4 linked regions of the Oreochromis niloticus genome follow. The protein of the gene in region 3 purifies or fractionates together with the protein of the main gene of each other region. This does not show direct contact. Links are inferred from orthologs where the notes say so. Each region holds a gene or a part of one and is shown on either strand. Other genes may lie near its edges.

Region 1 (7,715 bases), on a different chromosome or scaffold from region 3:
ATCTAGGTTTCACACTAACAATCTTTTGGGGTTTTGTGTCCACAAACAGCCAACTTGCTTGTTTTAAATGACATAAGCTCATCGTTGTCACTTGTACTTAAAATATGTTTTGAGTACCTTGTTAACTTTAGAGGCGACTGACAAACTGTGGATTCAGACTTTTACTTCAGAGTAAAGTGATATTAAATCCAGTAAAGGAAGCATTAACTGCTTGGTTGATTTAAACAGGAAGTCGCTGATGCTCTACTCATTAATCCAGTCCATGAAGGTGTTCAATGTGGACTTGCCGGAAGAATCATTCCCTAAGAAAAAAGATGGAAACCTGTAGTTAGGTATGAGTTTAAATCTTAACTGCAGAGCTTTATCAGTATACATACGAGCACTGTAAATAAGTGTCCTGTGTTCCTTATATTGTGGCTGAGTTGCTGTTGTTCCCAGTCGTTTCCACTTTGTTATAAAACCACTAACAGTTGACTATATAATATTTAGTAGTGAGGAAACTTCACAGCTGGACTTGTTGCACAGGGGGCATCCTATCAAAGTACTACTTCACCGAGCTCCTGAGAGTGACCCATTCTTTCACAAATATTTATAGAAGCAGTCTGCATGCCTGGGGCTATTGATTTTATACACCTGTAGCAATAGAAGTGACTGGAACATCTGAATTCAGTTATTTGGATGAGTGAGTGAATGCTCCCACTAATCCACTTAATGGGACAATAGGTTCAAGTGCAAAAAACACTAACATTATGTGTTTTTGTTGAAGAGGAAATTATTTCTGCAGTTTGGATTGCAGGGCTTCCTGAACGTAGGTTTTAAACTTAACTGGGCATCCTATACTGAGCAGCTCTTTACACTATAAACCACACAGTGAACACAGATACCAGCAATAGTTATATGTACTTGGTACCTCCTTTGGGATTTGCACAGCTGAGCCTCTGGAGGGAGGAGTTGTGGCCTATTCTGGTGTCACGCTTACAGAGGGAACAGGACACAGGTGAGGCATAGGGCCCACGGGGAAAACGGACACGGTCGCCATCATTATACTGTCGCTGGGCACCGCCATGGTGATCGGAACGCTGCCGCTGCCACACGAAATGAGAGGACATAATGGCCATCACCTAGAAGACAGAGGTCGAAGAAATAAATACAGCTCAAACAAAAAAAAACAAACAAAATAAATAAATCATGTCACTGCAAAACACACCCACAGACACTAGAGATGGAATGTCTGGCATTAAACCCAAGCAATAAAAATGGCACTGCACAGCAAAAACAAGACCCTTAAAAATTCCCAGAGAAGCACCATTTATCAGTCTCCTCAGGCAATTATACTTGTGTGTACCTCTTCACAGCAGCGCCTGCTGACAGCAGCTCTGTACTCGATGCGAGCCCACAGCTTGTCTCGCTGCTCAAGGAAGCGGGGAAACCGTTTTTTCCAGTTCTTGCCCAATGCCCACGGAAAAATTTCATACTTGCTCTCCTCCTCATCCTCCTCCATGGTGTTGGCAAGATACCTACAGGAGGAGAGCGAGAGCAGAGTTCAGGGCTGTAGGTTTGCCAAGAAATATCACATATAAAAGCAGAAGCAAACAAGGTTTCCTTTTCATGACAGAATATAATACAGGAGCAGGATTTTCAGGCTTTTCTCTGAACTTACAGTGCAATGAAAAAATTCTTTCTGGTGTATTCAGTAATAGTGAAGCAGGCCCTTTTGAAGTACACAAAGGTCATGGCTAGGAGGTACTGATGAAATAGAGGGAAAAGATGGTGTCACTTTAATATAAAGCATAAGAAAGTTTTGTAGCTTTCATCAAAGTAATAACTTTACCTTGTCTGTCAATTTATAGCAACCATCCAACCTTAGAAAGTCTTTTATCAGGTCATCCTCTGTAGACAAAGAGATGTTAATAAATGAGAATTTAAACCAAATTTCACATTTTCTTGAGCGCATCCTGCTTTCTTGTTAGAATATTTATCTACCAAAAAGACGGAAATATGCTGCCATTTCCTGCCGCTGGACAACAGTTGACTGAGGCACTTTGGTAAAATACAGGTCGCCCTGGTTTGACTGGATACTCCACACCACACCCTGGGTGTTTTGACCACTGTGTCTGCTCAGGCTGAGGTTTCTTCTGATTTGGCGAACATATTTGCGTTTGACCCGAAGGGTAACAGAGGGAGGAGTTTTCATCATGCTTCAGCTTGAATCATCCGCAGAAAGGAGGCCTCTGGTGTGTTATGACTGGAAATGAGGGAAAAAGTATGAGCAGTGAGCATCATCACTTTAGTCTGTCAGAGTTTTTTGGGGCAGGGTCAAAGGGGTCCACTAAAGTGTGCCAAATTCGAGCTTCTTACCATCATTAGCGCTCAAAAAACATTTAAAGAGCTAAATGTTTCTCTCTTTTCAGACATTTTTCGAGACGCAATTTAAAAATTAAGGGCCTTGGGGAGGGGTCTGCTATGGTGTCTCTATCAATACGGACTTTGATGAGCGTGGCTAAAGCAAAACTAGAATGACACGTATGCTTAATTTCCCTAAATGATTTGGATTGCCGCGTAGCAAAATGGGGACATTATTTAATAATACATTTTTCCGAATAACACACTTGTTTAAAGTTAGGCAGGTTATCTGTACGTCATTAAAAATAGGCAGTAAAAGAAAGAGAAAGCCCGCAGCTCTTCAGCAACATAAGCTTTCAGCTAGCTAGAAAACTGACTAAAAAAATCAAGAAAAAAAAAATCACCCAATTTAAGTGACGACTGTTTTTAGCGGCACAAAGAGACGCTAAAAGATTAAATAAGTGTTGTTCTTATGAGAAGCTTAACTGTCATACTAACCAGTAACACGTTTTAAAAGATGAAAGTGAGTATAAAGCAGTCGCTTCAGGACGCTGACCGGACGAGATAGTAGTTGGCAGCTCTGACAGTTTCTGGAGCGCGCTTCGAGATCTGTGCCAATCACCCAGCGGTGCACCTGCGCGCGAGGACGAGCACGTAGTGGCGCCACTTTTTCTTTGCTTATGGCGATCTCTGTGTGGAGTTATTATTAACATGCCGAACAATGTAAATATGAAGAACACTATTAAAAACACACCAAACACTTAGACTGTAAAAGTCACATTTCAGTTTCTAATGACTTTTTCTCTTAATGAGATATTTGTTTTGTTATATTTCATTTTATTTTGTTGAACTAGACAACAAAGGCTACCAATCTACTTATTTATGCTATTTTTTTCTGTGTTTTGTGGTTGTTTATTGTGTTTGAGTTACATTCAAGGTGCTGTAACAAACGGTTATTTTACGTTGGGGATAACTGATCTTATATAAGGGAAACTTTTGCAAGTTAATTGTTAGGAGGCAAAATCACAAAGGAGTAAATCATAAACTTTATTTACTCCTACTTTATTTATTTAGTCTAGTAGTTAGTTTTGGTGGTTTGTTCTCATTTCATTTGATTATTTAAGTAAGGGGGGGGAAAGGAAAGATGTGTAATATGCAACTATATTTGATTTAATGTTGTCAAATGTAGATAAAATAGAATCAGTGTGGCACATTTTCTAATTCAGATGAAAACAAAATGCTCTGTTTTTCTTTCTGTTTTTTTCTGTTTTTTTTCTATTGGCTAAATTAGGATGTATTGTTTCGCAGGCTATAAAAAACCCACCTGAAGCCAGCCTTCATTACCCAAATGAGCTTAAGTTCTTAGAAGTAGGTGAGTTTTATATGACTTAACGTGACATATGTGCAGGCTGAGGAGTTCACTGAAAGACTCACTAATCCTTTCAGCTGCTTGTCCTTCATAAGGTGCAGAGGGATGTTTATTTCGAACATGCTCCAAGGAAATTTTATTAAACATGGCCACCAAACTGTGGATTTATTTTGTCTGTCTGTGACAGTTGGAAGCAATTTGTAAAATGGATTTATCCACGTTTTGTTTTGGCAGTCTAGTTGCGGAAAGGGATCTTACTCAACGAGTCAACGACATCAGCCATCTGAAAATGACAGCTGGTGGCTAAGAATCTTTGCTATTTTTTACACAATTTACTGCACTGTCTGTATTAGTGTCATCCAGGGAGAAGAGAGAAAAAATCACCCTGTACAGCAGAAATGGGCTGCTCACCATCCAAAGGTAACAATTTTGGCACTCTGGGTGCCATGAGGAAGGGGAGAATGTTACCCCCTGCACCTCAAGACAACTCCAGAGATCCACAGTTTGAAGATGGTGAAAATCATGATTCATCTGGAGCTACAAATGGAGATACAAAGGAAAAGAAGACAGGTGGACAAACCCAGGTACTTCAGAAAGAGTCACACATGACACCACAGAAAAAGAGGCTTGATACCGAGCAAGTGAATATGGAAGCAGTTAACATAGATAAGCTGGGGAATCAAGCAACAGAAAAAAGCGCAGTATCACAGAGGAAAGAGAAAAACAATGACAAACAGGATGTGGCAGACAAAAGGCTTAACAGGAAACCAAAGAAAAATGCCAAAGGTGCAAAAGTTCTTAAAAAGAAAGACAAAGACAAACTATCTGAAGAGCAGAAAGTGGACTTTCCAGAACCCTTGGTAAAAGCTCACCAAGCTGCATATGCCTTTTTGAATCCTAGCATAAACAAATATGATGTTTTGCTTGGACTCTTAGAACAAGCAGCTGAAACTCAGGTTTCTGTTCAGCCTATGGTTGCCTTCATGGCTCTACGTTACGAGGAAATAATTCAGGGACTAGAAGACATGGTGGAGGAGGGAGAAAAAATTTTAAAAGAAAATGGTGAACATCTTGCTTGGCCAAGCCAAATGAAAAATCTCTCATCCTCTACCCCTCTGAAGTCTGGCTCTCCTAATATCGAACCCCCACCGGATTTGTTGCAGCAGCTGCTTCAGTACACCACACAGAGAATGAGAAATGTGAGCCAGACTGTTGGAAGAATTGGGGACTGTGCTTTAGAAGAGGCAGCTGAGTATTTTGCCTCAGTTTCAGAGCTTTTAGAGGAGAAACTTAAAGTCAAACGTGCAACAGAGAGTAGGTTAATGCAACTCTTATCCCGCATTGAAATGGCCTCTCTGCACAAGCCTGGGCCAGAGGATTCAGCTCTCTTTAGTGAGGACAGTGGAATTGGGGCTGAGAATGAATCCCTTGCTGGATCTGAGAGACGCCAAAGACGAGAGAGTTGTGAGTCTACCGGGACAAATAGAGCTACTCCTGTCAGTCCTGTGCGAAGAGTGTCAAGGAGAAGGCTTCGGGGTCAAATAAGTCCCAGTGTGTCCCTAACCTCACTCAACTCACTAGGTTCTACATATACCATAATGGCTAATGACCAAAGAGACTCATTGCTAGGATCTGTCTCCACAGAGTACGGGGAAGAGGATGTCAATGATTATGATGAGGTGGACAGAGATATAGGAGATATCCAAGAAGCAATTCAAAAACAATCAAATTGTTCTCCTGTAGACTGTGAGCTACAACAACCTCGACGTTTACCCCCAAAGAGGATAGAAAATCCTCAAAATGTGGAAATGACTATGAAAATGAAAAATGCAATAAGTGGTAGGATACAGTTTGTATCGTCACAAAACCCTAGTTCTAAAACAAAGGCATCAGAGAGCACAAAATCTAGCACACAGGAGTGGACAGATGATGAGGTACGATCTCCAAGGAGGCCTCAAACAGCAGCACTTGTACGAAAGGCACAAGTGAAAAAGACCCCAGTGAACAGGGGTCAGCGTTCCCGGTCAGCAGATTCCCTACGGAGCAAAGGGGAAGATCCTACTCTTCTTGAACTAGAAAGGACCCAGAAAGATTTAAACCGGAGATTGCAGAGCATAAATAAAAGCAAAGAAGAAAGAAAAACAAGGACTGATCCTTTAAAACGAAACCAAGGAAACTCACCAGCACAATCTCCAGCAATAAATCGGAGACAGCCCTCATTAGAAAAGAAAAACAACCCCCAACCACCTAAAGACAAGGCAAGTCTTACAAAGTCCAATAGTAAAAAACAGGAGGTAACCAGTGAAGTTGATGATGATAAACAAAAAGACAAGAATATACCCAAGGGTCTTATAAAAGCAACTCCACCTCCTAGCCCGCCTTTATCACCCCAGCCATCTTCTGGCCTTCAAAGAGGTAGGAATTCAGTCAAAAAACTGATTGATACATTCAGTCAAGGAATAGAAGAACTAGAAGGTCCTAAAGTCCTGGGGCCTCTCAAAGGTGTGCGAAAATGTGGTGTTCCAGTGTTACCCGGTTTAGGAAATGTAGAAGCCGTGCTGACTGCTGGCATAACTAGCTGTAGGTCTGAATCTACAACATGTGAGAAAACAGATTTAGATCTGGATAGTCTTCCTCCACCAGCAATAGAAGTATTACTGGACAATTCCTTTGAAAGCGCTCAGAGTACATCAGCTAGTGTAGCAGCAGATGGTGCAACAAAAGTAGGAAGATCACCTTTGTTGAAAAGGGGTGTAATATCACAACGATTGAAGGCCTCAGTTCAGTCAGTGACTGTACTGCCAAGCAAAGGAGGCTTGCCACAAACTTCCAAACACATTTCCCCTGTTAGAGTGGAACAACAAGACACATTTCCTCTGTCTAAGGTCAATCAACCAGACATTCAACAACGGGCAGATTTGGAAATCAAAAAGGATTCTTTATATCAGCAACTCAGAAAGAGCATACAACTAAAACCCTCTTCAGACTCTCAGTCAGAGAAATTGTCAACAAGTTATGTAGGACCGTCTGCCACTCAAACAGAATTGAGAGACATACAAGATGGTGGTAACATTTCAGTGCCTGGATCCAACACCGCAGCATCTTCTGTGCCTGCTTCGGTAGAGACTAGCCAAACACCTGCCACCCCACCTGTGTCTAGAGGGCGAATGTTGCCTTCCACACCTTCTACTCCAAGCAGCTTACATCGAAGACTTCCCAGTCCCCACAATTTCAAAAATCAGCCTACTCCACCCTCTTCATCTAGCCCCTCTCTTAACAGAACACTTCATACACCACCTGCTATTCAGAGGAGACTCCCCAGCCCACCCATTTCAAAGCAGAACATTTCGAGCTCAAACTCAGTCGCTTCATACCCTTTCAAAGCACCATCTCCCCCAGCTTCGCCAAAAATACAAAGATGGTCAAGGGAAAATAGCAGTGAAGACTCATCAAGTGCCAGGACAATTAGTAATGCACGTTCAGTCTTCTGTCCCGTTTCTCCATCCATGTTTGAAGCCCAGCCTTGTTCAGTAACCAAGCCCCCGCAAGCATGGACCTCAACCAAAGTTTCATTCCTCTTACGTACTTTTGAGACACGTGGGAGGACTCCTGCATCTGTCCATGGGCCACGACCCTTTATCAGACGTAGCCATTCAGACCGGAGGCAGAGTCTAAGTCTGCCACAACGATCACAACGCATCTCAGTGGCTGAGACTTGTGGGAGTGAACCAGCAATATGTTCACAGGGGTGAGATTTTACCACATTTCTGGTTATCTTAAATGATTAATCATGACTTTGTTTTGTTTGTTTGTTTTTTTACCTTAAATTTATATAAGGTTCTGAGAGCAATTCTGGACAAATGTTATGAAAAAAATCAGTTCTGCTCTCTTTGGTAGGAGCTGCCCTATTTTATTTTAAAAACACCTACCTGGTTATGCTTTGGGGAAAAAAAACAGTATTAATAACATACGTAACAATTAAGTGACAGGGGTCCACTTGGGA
Region 2 (7,999 bases), on a different chromosome or scaffold from region 3:
GAGATTGATGGGTTCACCAGAGGAGTTGACTGGACAGGCAGTCGGAGGAGGAAGTCGGTACACATTCTGACCTTTACCGTTGATTGTGTCCGTAACCTAGGGAGAAAAAAAAAAAAAAAAAAAAAAAGATTACTGCTAAACGCTTATTTCCAACAACAATACTTAGTGATGCCATAACATGCCATTTTGTTTTTGGGGGGCACTTACTAAAACAAAAGTACGAGTACACAATCAGATAGTGCACCTCACAAACAAACAACTCAAAAATATCGTCACTGTAGGGATCATCCATTAAAAACAGTTTCATTATATCTTATTCAGATAACCTTGATTAAAACATGCAAATGTAACAGTCAGTTACATTTGCACTTAGGCAAACAAAAGAAGACAATAGTTTGGCACACAGTGTACTGCAATGAAATTAACAATTAATTTAATTACATTTAATTAATTACATTAGACCTTGTGAAACAACAATTGATTGAATCAGGAAATGATCAAATTATGAGATTGCAAAAGAGTTAAGGCCCTTTAACATGAGATGGGGCATGACCTGCGCTAACCGCTAATTAGAGCGAAGGACCCCAAATTTGTGTTGCACTGGCCGCTCTGCTTGTGCGTCATTTTTTGCGGCCGCTCTACATATACTAGATGCGTCTGCTCCTTTACATTAAAAAACATGTATGTCTCTGAATCATATCGTCTGCAAGATGTTTAATTAAATTTTTTTTTAAATGTATTGTTCATTCATAAAGAAGAAACCTGTAACTATCCTACTAGTCAAGAGTGTGTCATTTCCTCAACACTGCTTTTCTCTTGAGGTCCCCAAAGTCGCTGAAATGAAAGACTTACTCAAAGGCTCTGGAGATCCCTATATATGCACATAAACCTGTGTCAAAAAGTTCATCAAACTCAGATACACACAGAATGTTTTCCTTAATCATTTGGTTAAACTTAGAGCAGCTGTAGGCATTGTTTCTATTGGTCACGTGAAGGTAAGTCACAACACGCAGTGCATGCACGAGTACTCCTCGCTGGCACGCTTGGGCTGTGCTTTGCTCAGCGCTTTGGTTGGCACAGCAGTACAACGTTATTGTGTGGCGCAAGCAATAGAAATGAACGGGTTTCAGAGCGCAGGGCTGCGCGTCCCACATCCTATGTGAAAGGGCCCTTACACTCTACCCTGCAAAGTTCCACATTAGCAAAATGTAAAAGACCTCATTTTAACTTACTGTAGATGCATGAGTGAAGTATAACTTTAAATCAATGTGCCTCTGTGTTTTTTTGTACATTTGTTGGTTGTACATTTGAATAAAATCTCCAGCATCTAATCCATTTATGATCCTACCTCTTCCTCTACCATGCTCTGTGGGGAGCTGGGGGAAGCAGCTGGTTCTCGAACGGAAGGATTATTCCTCATCCATGCACGGCAGATAGGATACAGTGGGGTGGCGGTGTTGAACTGAGCCAGATCCACACTGCGGTCAAACAACTTGATAACGTAGGCATCTATTAAAAGGAGAACAAGAGAAAAATAAATTAAAGGTAAGAAAATGGTCACAAGTGCAACAGACAAGATGGTTACACAGTAACCAAGGCACATCAAAGACAAATTCCAATCATTTTTCATTATTTTCATTAATTTACTTTGTTTATGCTGATTGCTTTCTGGAATGCTCTCATCCATCTCTTTTCGCTTCTTTCTCCGGTGCTGTGGAAATCGAGCCGACGGTCTGCAACAAATAGATTTTTTAAAGTAATAAATTTTTGGAGCTTAAAAGAGATTCAAACTAATTTCTCATACAATTCAAGTAAAATTATATTTTTTATTTCCAGACAAAATGATAAAAAAGTCTAAATATGCCCTGTTTTAAATGCCTTGGTATTTCTTTGTGAAGCACTTTGTGATCTTTGTATTGGAAGGTGCTATATAAATAAAATTTTACTTACTTAGTAATTACAAAAAAGTTACTGACAAGTCAAGTTTAACTAAAACATAAATACTTGCCTTTTTCCAGCAGATGTCGGTGATAAATCCCTAAAGAGAATGGTGGAATATGCATAAATTGCAATTAAAAAATAAATGTTGAAGTAAAATCATTGAATCAGCGCACCCAATTGTAAAATATTCTATTAACAGATCATTAAAAACTAAATAAAACCAAAATCACTGGTCCATACTTGTTCAAAGAGTCGGCTGACAATTTTCCCGGATCACCTTCATTTTGTTCCCTGCTGAAAACATGTTTATATTAGTTTTGTTATTAAGAATAACTCGATTCTATAATAATTATATGCACAACAATTAATTTTGCTAACCTTTCATTTTCGCTCTTCTCTACCAGTCCCTTTAAGACAGCATCTAATTTGCTGCGCGCACCAGCCCCGTCTAAGTCTGCAGAAGTAATAACGAAATAATTAATGACAACAACAATACTCACTTTGGGTGACACTCGCCCCCTGTATTACTTAGCTTTTAAGAATCCTGTATAATCCGAACCACTCAAACTTACAGGCGAATGTACTCCAAAACAATCCAAAACAAGAATTTGTACCACACAAAATTTGGAAAAGCTGAAAACACAAGGCTTCAGGAAATATTGAGAGCTGCTGTTACCTGGCCTTTCAGTCTTGATCTTGACGTGTTGCATTGTGTCCGCCTTTCTATAGACACCCCGTGGGAACTGACGGACTTGTAAAACCACACGGTTGCTGTTTCGGTTCTTTAGATTTACAATAAATTATGTTTGATTCCTTGCTAACGGCGCCGTTAGCCAAGCTAGCTGTGGGTACCGTTTACAACCAGTTAGCTGTAACCACTGGTTAACAGTTAAGCTATATAACGCTATTCAAACCATTAAGCAAATAACATTTATCCCTATCGACTTCCATATAGTTAATAGAAAGATACAGCACAGCAGTCGTTTATGATTTATACCAAGCTTTGCAGGGTAATGGCCAAACTACTGTTGCTAACTTAGCTTATTTTTGACAAACGCATAACCTTACTAGACTTTCCTCTTCCGCGCGCTGCCAATTTCCTATTAGCTGATTGGTGCCTGTGCAAACAGGGCCGCCTATATGATTGGTCAAATGTTATATCAATCATTTTTAATTCGTTCCCTATTGGCTGTATGTCGTGTAGTAAATAACGTTCGGCATACACAACAAAAGCTCTCTTCCACTTTCATCGAGAATGTACTGGGTTTGTAAAATAAACGCGAAGTTACTATGTTTTTAGTCAGAACGTTAAATTGGAATGATAAATAGATGTTCATAGAGCCTAACGGAGAAGCGTAATTTATATTCTGAAAGGGAATTTCTGGCATTTGAAGTAACTTTGTGTGTAGACAAGTAAACTCGGAAGAGTTTAGTAATGGGGCCATCGTCTTTTTGTTAGCTAAGTAACCCACTCAGATTAACACGTCAGTCCTGATATGATTTGGGGTGCACGAGGTAAACCAAGCCCACGTTGAAACAAGGACTGTGTGTGCTTTCTTGTGGTCGTTGATGTCTCATCGGTCACCTCCAAAGGTTGCTATGAATTCCAGGTGAGGATCTAATGACACATTTTGTAGCACCCTAAACAGAAGAAGTTATAGTTAGTAATATGTGTTCTTCTTACAGTGGACCTGTGTTCACAAAGCAGAATCCCTTCCCAGCAGCACCCAAAGTGAGGACGGCACACTACCACCCATCCAGCAAACAACCCCTCTCAAAGAAAGAGAAAAAAACTGTATGTTTTATTGTCAAAAACACTTAATATACTGCAAGAAAAACAGATTCTCATTGTGATATATATATATCCCTTTTCTGTTCTTCTTGCAGACACTAAGTCCTGTACGTTTAAACCAGCGATCCAGAACAAAGTTACATAATCTAAACCGAGAGAGCCAGCAGCTGTCTAAGAAGCATGACCGTTTTTCCTCCATTGATGGACAACCTGTTCTTAAAGAGTCCCAGGCCTCCACTGTCGTTGGATTCTCTCCTGATAGAAATACTGCCTCATCTGACATGGACGAACCCAAACAGTCTGGAAAAATGGGGAAATCCAGTGTTTCCCAAGTTCAAGGAGGCCAGGAGGATTCTGTGCTGGCAAAGTATGTCTTAATGCCTTATGTAATTTTCTTAAACAGAACTAAAAAAATAGTTTCAAAATGACAACGGGACAATTTTTCATGATTAAATATGACAATGTCATAGTGACCCTGATTATTTTTATTTCATTTTGCACGTGACTTCTTGTAACCAAATCTGACCTTTGCTTTGCCAGATACGTAGAGCGTTTTCGCCATGGTCGCCCACAGAGTCGAGAGGAGCGCCATCAGGTGGCTTCTGCCAGTGGAGAAGAGCAGGCTCCTTTTTGGTGGATGTCACATTCATCACCCAGCAGTTCAACACCAACTAAAACAACAGACGAAGGTACACTTTATTTACAGTCATTGGTGTATTTTATTCCCCATTACCAGCTGCTTAATTCTATCAAATCTTTCTGTGTACTTCATTTCTCTGAAAAGATGTTATCCAACTTCTGAAAGAGGACCAGGATCCTGCTCTTTATGATCCATCTGCACAGCGTGACCGTAACAGATCCCTTTCTCCCTACAGAGGATCCAATAGTGTAAGTTGTATTTATAAGCTAAGAAGAAATAAGCCATAATTTATCAATTTTTTTATAGCAAATGTGCTTCTGTTTCTTGAAAAAATAACAGATCCATAAGATAGGGGGAAAAGGCACCACCAATTATTCAGTTTTTATTGTTTGTGTATGATGTCACAGTGGATTATGGGGTTTACATTGTCCCTTGATTTACACCACGCATGTCCAAAGTGCCTGGGATTCTGATTGTTTGCAGAAGCAACACTTTATTCCGACTAAGTTTGCATATAAACATTTCCATTTCAGCACCACACTCCATTTGGAGGTCTATGTGTTTATTAAATGCCTGGGAAGTCGCCGTTTATGCAACCAGATTTGACACGTTGTTCAGCCTGCTAAGAACAAATGCATCACCCTTTTAATTAAAATCCTTTTATTTATTTATTTATTTGGGAGGATTTATTTACACAGTATTGCAAGTCTTTATATGAAAAAACGTGTTTTTTGTTTCCCAGCTTTTGTCCGACACATCCCAGGGTGAATTTGATGACAGGGAGATCCTGCACCTTCAAGAAAAGGCCAGCAGACTTCTTCTGAGGGGGTATGAAGACCGTTGAGCAATATTAAAGATAAATGGCTTGAGTTGTATTAACTTTTTTTTTTTTTTTCTAACAGTGAATGTTCTGTGAGTGATGGATCTGTCCCTGTCAGCTCAGAGGGGCTGGGATGCTCAGATTTCTCCTATCCCATCAGTATAGATGAGCCAGTGAAGCAACCTTTGATTCCCAGTTTATTCAAAAATACTACTGGTAGGGAAAGAGTGTGGACTAGAATACCTTTTGTTATTTATAGACAGATTCTATTTTGCGTGCTGCTGTGTTTTAAACAGTGTGTTAACATTTACAGCAAAGGCCAGCTCAGACTCAGCTCATGGTGTGTCCTTCCAAAAATCTGTCATGCCTTCTTTGGTGCCTCCTACCCGTCCAGAGGAAGACATATTGTTCCAGTGGCGTTTAAGGAGGAAAATGGAGCAAGCCAGAGAGAGGCCCCTGTCTGTGCAAGCCTCCAGTCCTCATGCATTTAGTTGGCAGGCAACGAGGTTAAGCTATCCCTCCATTAGTGAACAAGCTTACAAGGTTGGAATCAAACTGTTTGTTACATTATCCATATTCTTTGCACAAATTTACAGAATAACATTAATTTGCTCTTCAGGAACAGCAGGGTACCCAACCTCCTCAATTCTCACAAAGAGATACTCATTCACACATCACTGCTGCCCAGCCAGAAACCACAGAGGCCCAGAGGTTCTGTCCCCCAGCTCCAGGTCCTTCACTATTCCCCACCATCAATGTTTCTGGTTCAGTCCCTCAGCCGCAGAGCATTGCCCACGTTCCTTCCCACATGCATTTTCTCTGTGACGTCTTGCCATGTCCCATCCAGTCATCTCATGCCAAAGTGCACCAGAGCATTTCACAAAGGTTAGACGAGTCACAAACCAAAGTTCTTCACAAAAAGACCCAAGTCCCTGAAAGCCTTGGAGAATTAACTCTTTGTGAACGCATGTCACTCACTCCACCCACGCCATCTGAGAGAGAGTGGCCTGATCACCAAAAAATGTCTGAGAAGAACAAGAAAAAGAAAACGGGGACGAAGCAATCAGAGGTAAATGGGAAGGAGGAAGCAGTGCTCGCCAGACAGCATAAGAAATCAGCAAGGTGAATTATTGAAACATGGGCACTGTTTAAAAGTCTTGGTGATAAAAATATGTGTTTGATATATACCGTTAACATTTTGTGGGATTTATGCTTCACAAACAGGAATTCATTACATCAAAAGCTTCCCAAAAAGGTCACATCATGTAAAGAGCAGCAGCAACCAGAGAGAAGACAGGAGCTTCCCAGTGAAAGCTGTGCTGGTGATCACGAACCACCACCATCCCCTATCCACAATGCATTAGGACAGGTAAACATGCAAATGTGCAATTTTATTTCTTTATTTGAAGCCACAGAGGCTGTGTCCATATTTGGGCTTTCTGGGGGGGTTTTTTCTCTGCAGTATATTTGATAAACTGAAAGCTGTGTGTTTGTTCTCAGACTTTGGCAATCTATGATTGTTTACAGATCTTAATTAATCATTTGTAAAGGCCATTGACAGATCTGGTCTTTAGGAGACTGTATATATTAAATATTTAAATAAAATACACACAAGTTTTTATTGAATATAATTACAGGTCTACCTTCACTATGCATGTCTGCACATATTTTTTGGATGCCAAACTGGTCATAAGGTTCAATGTGATCAAGGTAATTAATATGCATTAACTTGGGTGTTTTCATTTGACCTTAACAGGTAGTTTCAGAGGTACTGTTTCCTACGGTGGATTCCTCTTCTCCGAAAAGGATTCCTGTTTCATCTGATTCTCCTTCCTTCACCGTCGCTGCACCTTCACCATCGCCAATTCCTCCAAGCAATGCACTGAACTCTATGGAAGTCATTTCACAGCTTTTCCAAGAGGCCGAAGGTAAGCTTATGGTGGCAAAAGGCACCAGTCTTTAGCCCGTAAACAGCTGCATAAATAGATGCTTTTAGTATCTGTCCTCTCACTCAGATTAAACTTTTTGTTTTAGATTCGGATGAAAAAGAGTTTGGAGATGATCCTTTGCTACAAGTTCTTCGCAAACAGAGAAAATGGGTGAAGGAGCAGATCAGGTAAAACGGAATTAGATTATCACCATTACTGTAATGATTAGAATCCTTTCCTGTGTATATTTCTAGCATTAATTTATTCTTAAAATCTCTTTGAATCGGTTGACAGTCATGTTAACAGAGTCGATTGCCAGAAAAAGAATGATTTTTTGTTGTTGTTGTTGTTGTTTTGTTAGTGAGGTGGACTCCATCTTAAATGAATTCGTGGAAGAGCAACAAGTTACTTGAAGAACATCAAGAGACAGTTTTTGTAGTCACATTTATTTATTTTTTATTTTATAAAGAAATAAAGTTAATTTATATTTTTGAGGACATTTTTCTACAATAAAGGTTGGAGATGTGTCTCGGTGGATTATTATTCACAACACTGTGCATGTACAAAAGTTGCACACAAAAAGCAGGAGTTGGAAATGCCAACAGAGAATATTTACAAAGTAGAGTGGTTACTTGAAACATTATGTAACATTGAGTACTAGCAGAGCAGTATATACAAACCTTGGAGTGCAGGGAACATTAGAACCGTGCCAGGAACAGAGCAGATATGTGTTTTGGCACACATCAAGTTCTGCTGGGAGTGCAGGAGCTTGAAGTTATTGCCGTTTTTGTCAGTGTGGCCATACAGACTTCCGCTGATTTATTTTTGTGTATGGTAAGGATGGCAGAGGTTTTAGTGTTGGCTGTTAATGCAATTTA
Region 3 (7,176 bases):
CACCGTTATTTGCACTACCCCACAAACTTGTTTGATCACGTTTAATTCTAACCTATTACTTCAAGATGGACATGCTAAAGACAACATACCATTAAAATTTGGAACTATAATGGTATACAAATAGAATGGGTCTACCTAACCTGCGCTGACTCAAAGCCCATCATAAATACTTCAAATATGACAAGTTGCATATAAATATGCAAAATAATTATATTGAAAATTACACTTAAATCCTCAAAATTATGATATACATTGAAACAGTGAAACTCTCACGACAAGTTGCTTCTCGAGGGCTGGTTTTAGTTACTGAAGAATCCAATGTGTTCTGTAGTGTCCACTTTTTCCCGTCCATTTGAGTCATGAACCTGAAGCATGGAGAGTCTTTATTGCTTAGATATAGCTGGCATTAAAAGAGCCTGTTATTTTGCACGACTCAGAGTCTGAGGTGGGGAAGTGGCATGGAGACATCACGGAAAAATCGATGCACAAGAGCATTTTTGGCAGACAGCCTTTTGTTTGGATCATAGTTCAGCATTTCCTGTAAGATTGAAAAAAAGGAAAAGCAGTCAATGAATACAGCCAAGTGCTTCAGTCAAAAATTAACACAAGTCATGGAGTTCATGACACTGTTCAAGCTGCACAATCCTCAACTCTCTAGTCTGAAAGGGACACTTTCACAGGAGAAAATATTTAGATATGCAAAGCAGATAGAGGACCAATGTCTTTGGCCATGAATATATAATAAAAGTGCTAATAAATCAGAAATGTTCTCACCCCGAGCAGTTCTCTTCCATCTTCGTCAAGAAGAGGCACCACTTTTGATAAATCCTGCCGAGCCCACTTGGGGAAGGTTGGTTTGTAGTCAGGCATGGATGTGACTCCGGGCCAGACGGTCTCGTCAGGCGTTCCCAGAGTACGAAAGATTCGGAATAACTGATCTATTTCCGAGTCACCGGGGAACAAAGCCCTCCTGGTAACCTGTGGGCAGGGAGACATGGTTGGTGTCTTTTGTTCACTTTGGAGCTTTTTCTTTTTTGCTGTTAATAATTAAAGTATGTTACCATTTCAGCAAAGATACATCCAAGACTCCAGATGTCAACGGCTGTGGAGTAGTACTTGCAGCCCAGGAGAATTTCTGGGGCTCTGTACCAAAGTGTTACCACCTGAAAAACATCACAGGAGCAAACAGTTGTGGCATGCACTGAGCTAAGAAATTTTAGGTGCCATTAACCTACATAGTAAAGACCACATGAGAGCAGAGCAAGCACATCTGGAGTTCTAGCCGTTTATAATTTTATAACTCTAACATTTACTTAGGTAGGTTGTGAACGCCTTACTTCATGTGTATATGCGCGGACGGGTACTCCGAAGGCTCTTGCCAGGCCAAAGTCAGCCAGCTTGATCTCACCCTGGGCGTTGATGAGGAGGTTCTGGGGCTTCAGGTCTCGATGGAGAACCCTGTGAGAGTGGCAGAAAGCCAGGCCTTGCAGCAGCTGAAAAAGATAGCTCTGCAAACACAGCAATATATGCTCGGTTGAGTCAAGCCTGACTTCCAGAGTACAATTCTTAGCAGAATTAACTGCTGAAAGTATTAATTCAAATCTGCTGTGATGGTTACCTTTACTAGAGGCAGTGGGATACCAGTGACTGAGGAGGAGTCCATAAACTTTTTTAAATCCTGGTGAAGAAACTCAAAAACAAGATAGAGCTTGTTCTCGGTGTGGATAACATCGCGTAATCTGGAACATGTTGACAGGTAAGTTGGCTTAGAAAAGCAACATCAAACAAGTAAAACAAGAATACTGCAAGCATGATCTAGACATAGCTGTAACATAAAGCACTTACTTGACAATATTTGGGTGACTGAGTTCTTTGAGAAGCGATATCTCCCGGATGGCTGTGCTTGGTACACCCTCTGTTTCCCTGAAATGAACAAACAGTAAAAGAAACAGGTTTTTATCTAAGCAAAGCATGTACTTTAGTATCCTGGCGGTTTGACAGCTGATCAAGTCCTGAAAGCTGAAAGAAACAACAGCACTACTCTGTGTACTTTAAGCAGTGCGCCTTACAAATTAGCAAACACAAAGATAAGACACGTCAATGATTTAGCTTCCTCTGGTTTGAAACAAAGGTCACAAAAAGCAAGCAACTTTGACTAATGGCACATCTGAATTTTCAGTAAGGTTTTCTTATGCAGCCTGTGGAAAATGATGATGATTTAGCTTTGGGACACTTTACTGTTATTTAGGGATTATGTTTTTATATTATAACAAGTTACACGTTAATACAACACAACAAGCTCATATGAGCTGTAAGGTTATGTAGATGTCCTATGTAAGGACTGCTCCATCTGTGGTCATGAAGACTTTGCGCCTTATGTCCAGTGTGGTTGTAGGAAGTTAACCGATGAAGCAGTCACGCCCTGATGGAGCCACGAGGTGGGTAAACTAGTTTCATCAACTCTTACGCACAGTAAAACTTGAAAACTAACGTTAGTCTGGTGACCCGAGGATAAACAACATTAGTTTGTTTACTTACGTGTCCAGCCTGATTTTCTTCAGAGCGACAGTTTCTCCCGTCACTTTGTTCTTGGCTTTGTAAACCACCCCATACGTGCCCTCTCCAATTTTCTCTACTTTCTGAAAGGAGTCCATCTCGTACCAAACGCAGGTCTTTAAGCGGCAATTAGCCTTTTAGCTCTTTGTGTCGAAGCTAACGACTGCTGGGTAGCTACTGAGGCAAACCTCGCATATAACCATGTAACTGCTGCTCAAGGCTTCTTCATCCGGTCCGCACGCGCCACAGGTTTAAGACTTAATTCTGACTGAGGATAAACTATCTCAGGTCAGCGCGAAGTAGCTATAAACAAAAGAAAGGGTCATTTGCAGACGCTGTTCATAACAATATCCGTAAAATGTGTGGTTTCGCGCGGCGGTGGCGTCTCGTTTGAAAAAAAAACTCAGAAGCAACACAACAGCCTTTCCCGCGTTACACTGGAGGCGTTCGTTTTTGTGTTCCAGACACACCGATAGGTGTAGGTGGGCGGTCGTCTAAAGGCTTTTCACTTTGAGTCCTATTTGAAAAATTGTTATGCATGGTACTGCTCTTATCGATTAAATAAATAATTTTAAAACATTTTTTTTATCGGCTAATTTTAAATTCTTAGCTTCTGTTTAACAAAAGGGTGCAAGTCGTGCTATAGAGGGGTGTCGTATCGGGATAACAAGGATACACTTAACAAACACCCTCACAGGTCACATGGTTGGACGGCGACGTCGTTATACGTAAACTACGTCGGAAATAGTGATGGTAAATTCGATTCTTTTTACTGAATCGAGTTTCACTCACCAAAGTGAATCGGGTTTCTTGAGTCATTTGAGTCACTGAGTCAGTTTACCAGAGAGTGCAAAAGTGTATATTTTCACTCAAACTTAATTTGTTTCTCTTCTAATGTAAATCCTACTGCTAAGATGAATGATTGTAAAAGAAAACAACTATTTTCTTTAGAGCAAAAAAGAGCAAAAAAATTCTAAAGGGAACATTTATTTATTTTTATTTTATTTTATTGGTATTATCCTTAAATGTGTCAAATATATATTTTCTCATCTAAATGTCCACTGAGCTGTGAGCCAGGGGGCGGTAAAGCGCCTCAACATTGGTTGCCAACCAAGAAGAAGAAGAAGAAGCTGTGAGCCAGGAGGGAGGGGGTGAGTGAGTGAGTGATTCGTTCAACTCGTTTGAGCTGTGATCCAGGAGGGAGGGGGTGAGTGAGTGAGTGATTCGTTCAACTCGTTTGAGCTGTGAGCCAGGAGGGAGGGGGTGAGTGATTCGCCTTACGCTATGATTCAGCACAGCAAGGGAGGGGGTGAGTGATTCGGTGATTCGTTCAACTCATTTGAGCTGTGAGCCAGGAGGGAGGGGGTTAGTGAGTCCTGAGTTATTCGCTTATGCTATGATTCAGCACAGCAAGGGAGGGGGTGAGTAACTCAAATGTGCTGTTAGCATGCTAGCTGAGCGATGCTACTGTGAACTGAGGAGCTATTGTCTTGATGTGAGCTTCTACTCAGGGTTTTTTCTTCCAGTTCAGAGCAGAAATGTTTTTGTTAAGAAACTGGCTGTTGGTTTTTTCCCCACAATTTTAATTATAAGCTAGATATATTTCTACTAATGGAATTAGTTCGCTAACAGCAACAGGGATGAGTCAGTGAGTCAGTTGTGCTTGTGAATCATGATTCACGAGTCAGTAAAGTGATTCTCGAGTATTGTACGATTCGTTCACGAATCGAACATCACTAGTCGGAAAGACTAGAACAGATTATAAAGTGTACAGAAGGCATACTATTTCATGAATCTGTCTTTCTATCTATGAATCTAGCCACAAGTCACAGTTTTATAGATGTGTACTGCACAAATATGATCAATTATTCAAACATATACACAATCCAATGCAAAATAAAAAGCATGAGCAACATTGTGTTTCGCATAATAAAAACATTAGTTGTCTTCACATCTATAATATTTCTTCTGCATCTTATGGCCACGCATACAGCAATTTTAAAAGTTAGAAAGCTGTTTTCCTAATCCTAAGACGTTTTACTTTCTAAGTTATTCAAACACAGTGAGAGTGAAAAAAAAAGAAGAACAATTTGCTCCTTTTAGTGGCAGGATGTGTTTGTAATGACCCACTGGATTATGGAGCAATGCTTTCCAAGTTCTGTTTTTTAACTGTTTTTCTCTTGCTCTCTGTTTTGATTGAAAAACTAAACTAACAGACATAATGATGGATCTGATATAGCAATTATTCCTCAACGCAGTGCAGCATCAACAGTGTAATAGGACACATGTGTACTCAAATAATACCTTTGAAAAGGGTCTGGTCATGTGTGTCCACCTGCAGATCCTTTGTGTTCTTTCAAAGGGGCAACTGGATTTAACACTTTCTTCACCTCAGGGGCCAAAATGACCTGCTGGGTACCAGTTAAAGCTTGCCTGTGGTTTGTGAACAACAAGGAACCCTGAGCTAGCCTCTAACCAGGGCATAAGTAGTACCCTTTCTTTTTTAAATTACACCTGTTGGCTGTGATAAAGTTATAATGGAAGACTTTAACAGGTCTGTCAAATACAATACTTTGTTATATAGAGCTATACACTCACCATCATCCTCATTCGGCAAACAGGCTGAACTGCTCATTAATGCAAATAAATAATCAGCTAATCACATAACAGCAACTCATTGCAATTGGGCACATAGACATGGTCAAAGCGACCCGCGGAAATTCAAACTAGACATCAGAATGAGGAAAACAGGTGGGTAAAGTGAATTTAAATGTGGCATGGTTGTTGGTAGTGATTATTTCACAGTGCCAATGTCACAAACCTTTAAATCTGTAAGGATTTAGTGATGGTAAGAGTATTTTGATTTATCACATTAGCAAAATTATGAGTGTAAAGAGTGTAAATAGTAGTAGATCTAATCTGGTGTTATATGATTATGCTGCAGAGTTGTTGAAAGACACACATTCATTGTTAATGTTATCGGTAACACCCGTGTTCTTCTCTGGTATGCCAGATGTCTGCTTTAAAGAAGGTCAATATTGATCTGAAATTTTAACCGCAATTGTGTTTAAGTCAGTAGGTTCCCCCTGCGGCATGAAGAAACACCCTCATTTGGTGCTAAGAGACACAGAAAGCATTCATTCCAGTACTGCACATGATCGAAGCCCGCAGGCCCAACACGTCTCCACGTTGCATATTTATATGTGAAGTGACGTCTTTCAGCACGGCAAAGATGTTAGTTCTCATTTCATGAGAGTATTTTTATTCTCTGATCACTCATTAGTAAAATTACGACTGATCCACAGAAAGTGACGCATGTAACATGTCTGAATATTTTTCTGTGTCTGGAGGAGGATTCAGATTTTCCCCGTTCTCCCTGCAGTTTAGAGGAGTTGGTTTCATAATCTGTGTGGACAGAGGTAATTAGGAAGCAAGTTTCCTGTCAGGAGATCTCCCACAGCCTGAATAATCTGATGGTGAATCATGAGCAGCCTTGGCGCAGGTCCTGTATACAGCAGATTAGCCTGCTGATTGTTCTGCACTACATGCTCCATCATGTGTCAGTGGAAGTTTTGTGTTTGTGCTGTACGTGTTTACCTTGGTTTGAGGTTTCTCTTTAGGCAAATTTTCTTTTTGTGTTAGTCTAGTGGAAAAATACAAACGATGAAAAAAAAAAATGAGGAGAGTTTGTTTTAAGCCATTTGAACACGCTGAATGACTACTGATGGCTGCTGTGGCCATGAACTGATTTGACTGTCTAGTCTGGTACTTTTCATATACCAGATGGCTTTATTGATCTGGTTTGGGGTCAGTTCTAAATCACATCCCTCAGTTTCTAATAGTGCGTGAAAAGAGAAGCCTGTGTGACTGTTTGACTTCAGTTTTGTTGACACACTCTATATTGATTGTGCTGAAATAGTTTTTGAGGATTCCAGGCTTTACAGGCCTTGTTGTTAAGTGCAATTGAGAAATATTTATAATGTCAAATAATTTGTGCAGAAAATGATCAGATTTCACGAAACAAGGTTCTGTGTTAATTCCATAAATTCTCCGAAACCCAGGAACAAATTTATTAAAATAATAAAAAGTAGAGACTAAATGAGCCTATTTATGGTATGTGGTATGTTAAGTCAGGTGCTCCGTGTGAGGCCTTTTTCTCCTCCTGAACTCTGTTGAGGAGCACATGAGGGGTCACATGTAGTGCAGCCTGAATAGTCTCACAGGCATGAGAGAACATCACTGTCAAAATGACTCCGTATTAAGTTTACTCTGTATAAAGTATAAGAATTTATTTACACAAAGTGGAAATAAGAAAAAAAAAACCCAAACAAACAATTAATAAAACAACTGAAAATGGAAAATTAGAAAGTGGGTGATACTAAAAGCAGGGAAGCAGTCATTTTACACTTTACCTTCTTACTGATTTAACATGTTTCATGTTATACCTGAATGTATTTTGTGTGTAATAAGTAATAAATTAGTCTGAAAAGTGTTTTTCCTCCTCTTTAACAGTTTTATGAAATACAACCTCAGTTGGAAAGCTGTAAAAAAAATGAAAATAAAAACAAATTTAGAAAATTTGCAGATCTAATAAACTCACATTTTATTTTCAATTAAAAC
Region 4 (7,280 bases), on a different chromosome or scaffold from region 3:
TGTTAGTGGCAGACATATGAACAGCTGACCGAAGAAATTTATTTAAACTGCATTAAAACAGCGACATTAAGGAGCTGTTGTAGACATCCAAGATTGATAGGTGACCCCAAAGCCTCAAAAAAAAAAAAAGAAAGAAAGTCAGAGCAGCCATTCTGAAATGTCATTGTAGGGTAAGCACAGGTGTAATAACATTCATCATGGCACTGCTCCATTTAGAAGGGTCTATTGTGCTTGCCAGCTCACTAGAACGACTGATAGACTAAATATAACAGGGTTATAATTGAGTTTAACACTTACATGCTTATTGTAGTATGAGATGTCAAAGTGGTTATTGTGAAAAAGACCTATTTTGATAGTAACCATTAATGAATATGGCTATATTAGCAAGAAAAAATCTAAAACATTGTTTGTAGTGCTGTGGAAAGGTATTGGGTTATGCTTACAGTGTTTACTGAATAAGATAACTAACTTTGGAATAGTTAACTTTAAATATATTTTAATAAAAGTCGCATCCCAGACCTGTTGAATCAAGAAATCACATAAATAAAAACCTGTCTGACAAAGTGAAGTAGGGTAAAAGACCTCAAACAGCAAAACATCATGCAACGATTTAAAGAAACTTCAGAACAGATAAGAAACAAATTCATTGACATCCATCAGTCTGGAAGGGGTTACAAGGTAATTTCTAGAGCTTTAGGACTCCAATGAACCATGGTGAGAGCCATTATCCATAAAAGAAGAAAACCTGGAACAGTGGCGAGCCTTCCCAGAAGTCGCCGGCCTACCAAATTTACCCCAAGACCGCATTAAATCATCTAGGAGGTTACAAAATAACCCAGGACAACCTCTAAAGAACTGCTGGCCTCACATGTCTCAGTTAAGGTTTATGATTCAACAGTAAGAAAGATACGGGGGGAAAACTGCATCTATGGGAGGATTCAATTCAATTTATATAGCACCATATCACAACATCAATCACCTCAAGGTGCTTTACATTGTAAAGTAAAGACCCTACAATAATAAAGAGAAACCTCAACAATCAAAGGACCCCCTTTGGGCAAGTGCTTGGTGACAATGGGAAGGAAAAACACCCTTTAAACAGGAAGAAACCTCTGGCAGAACCAGGCTCAGGGAGGGGCAGCCATCTGCTAAGACCAGTTGTGGGTGAGGGGAGAAGACAGGACAAAAGACATGATGTGGAAGAGAGCCAGAGGTTAATAATAACTAATGATTAAATACAGAGTGGTGTGTAAACACAGTGAAAAATGTGACTGAAGGAGAAACACTCCTTCATCATCAGAAGCCCCAGCAGTCTAGGCCAATTTGCAACAAAACGGGGCCCTAACTATATTCTTAGTCAGCAAAAAGGAACATTTTAAGCCTAATCTTAAAAGCAGTCTGTCTCCCGAATTCAAAACTGGAAGCTGATTCCACAGAAGAGGGGCCTGAAAGCTGAGGGCTCTGCCTCCAACTGTACTTTTAAACCTAGTAAACCAGCAGTCTGAGATCAAAGTGCTTTATTGGTGTGATATTGTACTGTGAGGTCTTTGAGATTTGATAGGGCCTGATTATTAAGGACCTCTGATGTGATGAGAAGGGTTTTAACTTCCACTCTGGATTTAACAGGGAGCCAACGAAGGGAAGCCAGCATGTGAGAAATACGCTTTCTCTATCTCTTCCTTGTCAGTACTCTTCCAGCATTCTGGATCAACTGAAGGCTTTTCAGGGAATTTTATGGCAGCCTGATAGTAATGAATTACAATAGTCCAGTGTAGAAGTAATAAATACATTAACTAATTTTTCAGTCTGAGGATTTTAATCTAATATTGGAGATGCTATGTATGCTATGCCTTCTAATGATACTACGTAAAAGCATGTATAATATAAACAGAACTGGTCCTAGCACTGAACCCTGTGGAGCTCCATAATTAACCTTAGTGTGTGAAGAAGAGTCCCCATATACATTAACAAACCAGAGTCACACAGAGAACACAGAGATGAGTCCACTGTCAGAGGCCATAGGAAGATCATTTGAAGCCTTCATAAAAGCTGTGCTGTGATGGGCTCTGAAACTCAACTGAAACTCTTCAAATAGCCATTCCTCTGCAGATGATCAGGTAGCTGTTTTACAATTACTCTTTCAAGGCTTTTTGAGATAAAAAAGAACGTTGGACATTGTCCTATAATTTGCTAAGACCGCTGGGTCAAGTGATGGCTTTTAATATGATAGTTTAATTACTGCCAGCTTGAAGGCATGTGATACATAGCACATTAATAGAAATAGACTGATCATATTTAAGCTTTAACGATAGGACTTTGAGCAGTCTTGTAGGAATGAAGCCTAAAGTGCATGCTGATGGTTTGGAGGAACTAATTACTAAAGTTAATACAGAAAAATTCCAAGGAGAAAACCACCGCTGACCTAAAAGACCACAAAGGCTAGTCTCACATTTGCCCCAAAAAACCCATCTTGATGATCCGTAAGACTTTTTGGAAAATATTCTGTCGACTGACAAGACAAAAGTTCAACTTATTGGAATGTTTGAGTCCCATTACATCTGGCATAAAACTAATACAGGATTTCATAAAAAGAATATCAGAGCATTGGTTTATGCATCAGCCCCCCCCCAAAACAAACAAACAAACAAACAAACAAAGAAACAAACAAACAAAGAAACAAACAAAAACAACATCCAAAAACGTTTTTTGAGTGACCTAGTCAAAGTCTGGGCTTAAAGCCGATTGAGATGCTTTGGGATGACCTTAAACACGCCATTAATGCTCTGAAACCCTCCAACGTCGCTGAATTAAAACAATTCTGCAAAGAACACCAAGGCCTTGGTGTTCCCCCGGAAAAGGTGGAAGAGGTAACTAGGGAAAGGGAGTTTTGCTTAGGGTGTTGCCCCCACAACCTGGTGCCAGATACACATAAGAAAATGGATGGATGGATGGATGGATGGATGGATGGATGGATGGAGAAAATCTACCTTGCCCAGCTATTCAAGAGTCACAAATACATGACTCATATGATAATTCAAGCAAAGAAAGGCAAACGGTTAAACCCTTATGAGCTAAGAAAAACATTTGTGATTACTTTATTAAAAAAATAGTATGGTAACAGGGTTAAATAAGAGTAACAGGGCTGCACAAGATAACGGGGTTGAACGGATATATTACTTTTACTTGTAGATTATGACATATGTGTGACAAATAAATACTCAGGACTACACAGAAATGTTGTTTAATAACATCTTATATATTTTTAACATGTTTGTAATGTTTGTTTTATATGTACAGTAACAGGATTGCAAATCAGTGCTAATATTAGAGTTTTCTCAGAAAAAGATGTAAGCTGATAGTTGACTGTGAAAGTCAAGAATAAATATAGAGATGTAAACAAAGGAATTAAACTTTCCAATTACTTTCTCTTTTGGTAATATGAATATCAGGGTTTGCATTGGCTGGAATGACACAGTCTAGTTAGAAAAGACTGGAAAAAATACAAAATATATCACAGAGGACTGACCTTCAATCTAACCACGGTGTTAACACGCGGCTCAATCGTGTCACTGACTTTTTGTCAAGTCACTCACTGTTTGGCCTCTTGTTTTTCCAGCCTAAATAGGTTTCAGTAACAGGGCTGCACATAGGTTTGCAGTGCGTAATTACTCTTCTTTAATATATGTTGATGTTTGCATGTTGTAAGCTGATGATGAACAAAATCAAAACAAGAAAAAAAGTGGATTTATAACGATTTTTAGCTGTTATAAATTAGTTATCGAGAGTTTGGCAAGAGAAAAAAATGCTATTTTGATAGTTCTCAAGAAGTATTTTGTATTTATATAATATTTTGGAATTGGAACCAACTTCACACTACAAATGTATGTTGTAATCTTTTGTGCCTGGACTGTTTTCAAATTCATATGGGGGAGCAAAGAAAATCTCCTGCATTTGTACAATGGCTCACTAATAGTGACAATAGTGAGTGTTGAGACCTCTCCAGTGCACTTGCTATTACTGATTTTTGCACCAAATCAGGTGAAATTGTTTCACAATGACTCATGGCTTCCTAACTGGACAGATTTGCATCCCTGAAGATTAACTAACTTTGTGTTAAATCTTCGATACTCTGATCCCTTACGTATTTTAAGACTTGTCATATTTACACATTTTTTATGGCACACTCCTGTGCAGCAGACGGCGCTGCATGTATCACGAGGGCTCTGGTATCCACCAATCCAAAGAGCTCCAGGTTGTGGGCATGAACTATTTTGACCGCTTTGCTTTCGTCTCATTCGTGCTGTCCAATCAAGCTCCACTAAAGCGAGGCACCGCCAAGATCAGATTGTGAGAGACGCTGGTGTAGCAAGGCTAACGGAAAGTCGATAGGAAAGGCTAGCGAGCAATCTGTTAACCTGTAAGGTGCACCGGTAAGCAGCATTCACTCACCTGCAGCTTGTCACTCAGCTGACGCATATGATAGAAACCGACGTTAAATATCTGTATGACCTTCTATTGTTTGTTAAGTATATAGAATTTTTTTTTTACCGCCAATAAATACAAAGCTAGCCGTCGAGGTAAACTTGTAGCTAATTCTGGGGTTGTCGATGACAGCTGGGGGTTAGCTTCTGTGCTAACCCACTAGCTAGCCAGTGAGCTAACAAAGCGCTGAAGCACCTACTTCTTGAAGTGCAATCGCGAGTTAGCTCAGTGTTGAAATAAACATTTTGATAATAAAGACAAGTACTTTTTGCATTGCATTTAATACATCCTCTTTCAAGTCGCTAACCTACGGCATGTAGCTGACTGTAACGAAGTGAAGAACAGAGCTAGTTTTGCGGTTCACGATGATTGTAATCGACCTGATTACAGTAACGTACTTGTATTGGATCCGTATGCAACGGTTCGTTTGGAAACGAACCTTATAAAAACTAATATTTAAGTTTTAGACACCTCAAAATGGCCACCTTTCTGTTAATTTAGCGTCAGGAAAGTATTCGTAAGGGTCTTCGTGTTTTATTAAGAACAAATAAGAAAGGTTACGCGATTAAATGCGTGGAAAAATAATAATAATAATACTAAGTCGAGTGTTTTTAAATGTAACTTCCAGACAACAAAGTGTGTTATTCATTAGTTAGCTATGTGTGTTGATACTGGTTACTACACTGGCAAAAGGAGGTCAGCGATTGACAATAAAACACAATAAACTCACGGAGTATATGCAGCTGCCTGCAACTGGTATTTCAGAAGTTGTGGTTAACTGTGGCAAAACATTTTTATCGTCTGGATTAAATCCACCTTGCTGGCATCGATGGCAAACTTTGTTTACTTTTTAGTCTGCTTGACTTGGAAACGATCACTCTTTGTACAGCTAACACACAGCAAGTTATGCAAATCCTGGCATGGCTTGTTGTATTAAAAAATAAGCTTAAAAGTGAAATACTCAAAGTAAATACATTATTTCGTACTTCAAATGAACTATATAATTGTTAAAAAGTATCTCGACATTTCTTAGTTTGTTTCCTGTTTAGTGGGGATTTAGACCTCCTCTTCCTCCATTCTCAAATGCCAACAACAACAGCCGTCGAGGAGACAGAGTGCACTCGTAAGCGCATACAGTCACCACAGTTAAGCTCATTCATCGTGCGAAAGGCACGTTCACTATTTTAAGTGTTAACCCATGGTGTAGTGTAGCTGGGATCTGCAGCACGGAACCAATAATCGCAACATTTCTACATGAATCGTCTCAGAGCGTGCAGGAGCTAACTAGTAAGCTAAGACCAGCAAGCTGGGTCTACCGCTAGCTGTTAGCAGCTAGCTGCGTCCAACAAAAGATTGTTCGTGCTAATCGACATATAATATGACCGCTGTTACAGTATCATGCAGCCACAGTGCCTGGAGCCACATAGTGCTGTCTCTGTTGCGACATTATCAGTTTAGCGCTGTTGTGGTAAAGTTCGCTTGTTTGCGTGACCTGTAGCAGAAGTTGGACGGTGCCTCTCCTCCGGACGTGCTCGGTACCTGAAGTAGGCCTTGTGCACACTTAGCGTAGTAAAAGTTGTGAGCATCAAGGGATGGCTTAATATGGTTTCCCGCATATCTAGAACATTTAAAAGTACTGCTCGGTGGCTCGTTCACGTGAGATTGGTGTGAGAAACGTACATTTCTGCGCATTTTGGCTTATAAAACAAATAGTGACGCTAACATTGGTGATGTAGTTAGCTTTCTACAATGTGCTCTTAGCAAGCAGACCAGATGGGCCTTACTTCAGAAATAAGTTTAAATTTCATCTCCAAAACAAAGTGAAACACAGCTTAGCTTGGGAAACAGTATTGGGAAATATGATGTTTGGGTCAAACTGTAATTTTGTCATTATTTAAGTAATAGTTTGTTCTCTTTCTGTTTACAGGGGTCTGAATAGTGACTGGCAGAGGAAAAGTCTTTTTAACCCAAAGCATACCTCTTTTCGGTCCTTTGGGATCATGGCTAAAGATGTAAGTAAATATATACATGGTTTCATGAGAAACATCAGGCTATTTTGGCTGTGTCACCTAGACTGTAGCTAATTTTGGGTCCTTAAATTTACTGGCTGCACTTAGTCTTGTAGCGTTTTCTTTTTTCTTTTTTTTCTTTTTAAATAGACTGTGGGATTTGTTTAGTGATTTCATAGTGGAGTGGTTTATACATTTGCCTTACAAAAGATCCCCTGTTAGGTCCTGGAAGGTGACACAGTTCCACTGAATCAGGAAGGGCATCCATCCAGCATAAAAACTCTGCCAAATCAAACTTGTACAACTCACTGCGGTGACCCCTCATAAATAAGGCATCAGCCAAAAGTAGCTTCTACTGTATGTTTGTTTAACTGGACTCGTCTTCAATTCTGTGGTTTCTGCAGTATATTAAGTTGTTCTCTTTTACAGGCTGGTCTAATTGAAACCAATGGAGAGCTGAAGGTTTTCATCGATCAGAATCTGAGCCCTAGTAAAGGTATATTTTGTGAATACTTGCCTACAGAAATTGTGCATATGTGATATACAGGGCATTCTAAGCAGTATGTACAGTCTAGTTTAAGAGGCAGCAGGGCTGTTTGTTGGTAGGTGGACAATAGGGGGCAATGGTGTTTCATTCAAAAGCTTCCCTCATTAATGATCTTCTCATGTCTCCTATAAGGTGTCCTGTCCTTGGTTACTGTCCAGCCCACAGCTGCCCCTGTGGCCAAACAGCTACTACCCAAAACCCTTGGGCCATCCAATGTGAACGTCGCTGCACACATGCAAAAT

The links.
Region 1: the proteins of cdk2 (region 3) and spdya purify together in Homo sapiens (affinity purification with western blotting; 7 studies listed by BioGRID). This does not show direct contact. The link is inferred for Oreochromis niloticus from reciprocal best matches to the Homo sapiens genes CDK2 and SPDYA.
Region 2: the proteins of cdk2 (region 3) and lin37 purify together in Homo sapiens (affinity purification with mass spectrometry; 3 studies listed by BioGRID and IntAct, with this or other methods). This does not show direct contact. The link is inferred for Oreochromis niloticus from reciprocal best matches to the Homo sapiens genes CDK2 and LIN37.
Region 4: the proteins of cdk2 (region 3) and tfdp1a purify together in Homo sapiens (co-immunoprecipitation; 4 studies listed by BioGRID and IntAct, with this or other methods). This does not show direct contact. The link is inferred for Oreochromis niloticus from reciprocal best matches to the Homo sapiens genes CDK2 and TFDP1.

Annotation. Positions count from the first base shown.
Region 1 is NC_031983.2:24,030,086-24,037,800, reverse strand, and holds the start of spdya (speedy protein A), read right to left. Parts: upstream 3,010-7,715; 5' UTR 2,842-3,009; intron 2,246-2,841; 5' UTR 2,198-2,245; coding exon 1,984-2,197; intron 1,891-1,983; coding exon 1,832-1,890; intron 1,747-1,831; coding exon 1,661-1,746; intron 1,518-1,660; coding exon 1,346-1,517; intron 1,122-1,345; coding exon 911-1,121; intron 303-910; coding exon 244-302; 3' UTR 1-243. Other genes in the region: pcare1 (uncharacterized protein C2orf71), read left to right, coding at 4,111-7,460. UniProt on the Homo sapiens protein: Regulates the G1/S phase transition of the cell cycle by binding and activating CDK1 and CDK2.
Region 2 is NC_031976.2:17,552,543-17,560,541, forward strand, and holds the start of lin37 (protein lin-37 homolog), read right to left. Parts: upstream 3,021-7,999; 5' UTR 2,652-3,020; coding exon 2,618-2,651; intron 2,396-2,617; coding exon 2,320-2,395; intron 2,236-2,319; coding exon 2,182-2,235; intron 2,039-2,181; coding exon 2,009-2,038; intron 1,734-2,008; coding exon 1,648-1,733; intron 1,510-1,647; coding exon 1,349-1,509; intron 97-1,348; coding exon 1-96. Other genes in the region: proser3 (proline and serine-rich protein 3), read left to right, coding at 3,511-3,551, 3,628-3,736, 3,829-4,100, 4,274-4,422, 4,518-4,621, 5,116-5,201, 5,276-5,409, 5,507-5,736 and 5 more; hspb6 (heat shock protein beta-6), read right to left, coding at 7,997-7,999.
Region 3 is NC_031970.2:24,511,529-24,518,704, reverse strand, and holds the start of cdk2 (cyclin-dependent kinase 2), read right to left. Parts: upstream 3,004-7,176; 5' UTR 2,655-3,003; coding exon 2,539-2,654; intron 1,924-2,538; coding exon 1,846-1,923; intron 1,740-1,845; coding exon 1,619-1,739; intron 1,509-1,618; coding exon 1,338-1,508; intron 1,164-1,337; coding exon 1,062-1,163; intron 979-1,061; coding exon 775-978; intron 539-774; coding exon 434-538; 3' UTR 1-433. UniProt on the Homo sapiens protein: Serine/threonine-protein kinase involved in the control of the cell cycle; essential for meiosis, but dispensable for mitosis. Phosphorylates CABLES1, CTNNB1, CDK2AP2, ERCC6, NBN, USP37, p53/TP53, NPM1, CDK7, RB1, BRCA2, MYC, NPAT, EZH2.
Region 4 is NC_031987.2:21,263,757-21,271,036, reverse strand, and holds the start of tfdp1a (transcription factor Dp-1a), read left to right. Parts: upstream 1-4,279; 5' UTR 4,280-4,430; intron 4,431-5,474; exon of another isoform or gene 5,475-5,769; intron 5,770-6,409; 5' UTR 6,410-6,482; coding exon 6,483-6,494; intron 6,495-6,920; coding exon 6,921-6,987; intron 6,988-7,170; coding exon 7,171-7,280. UniProt on the Homo sapiens protein: Can stimulate E2F-dependent transcription.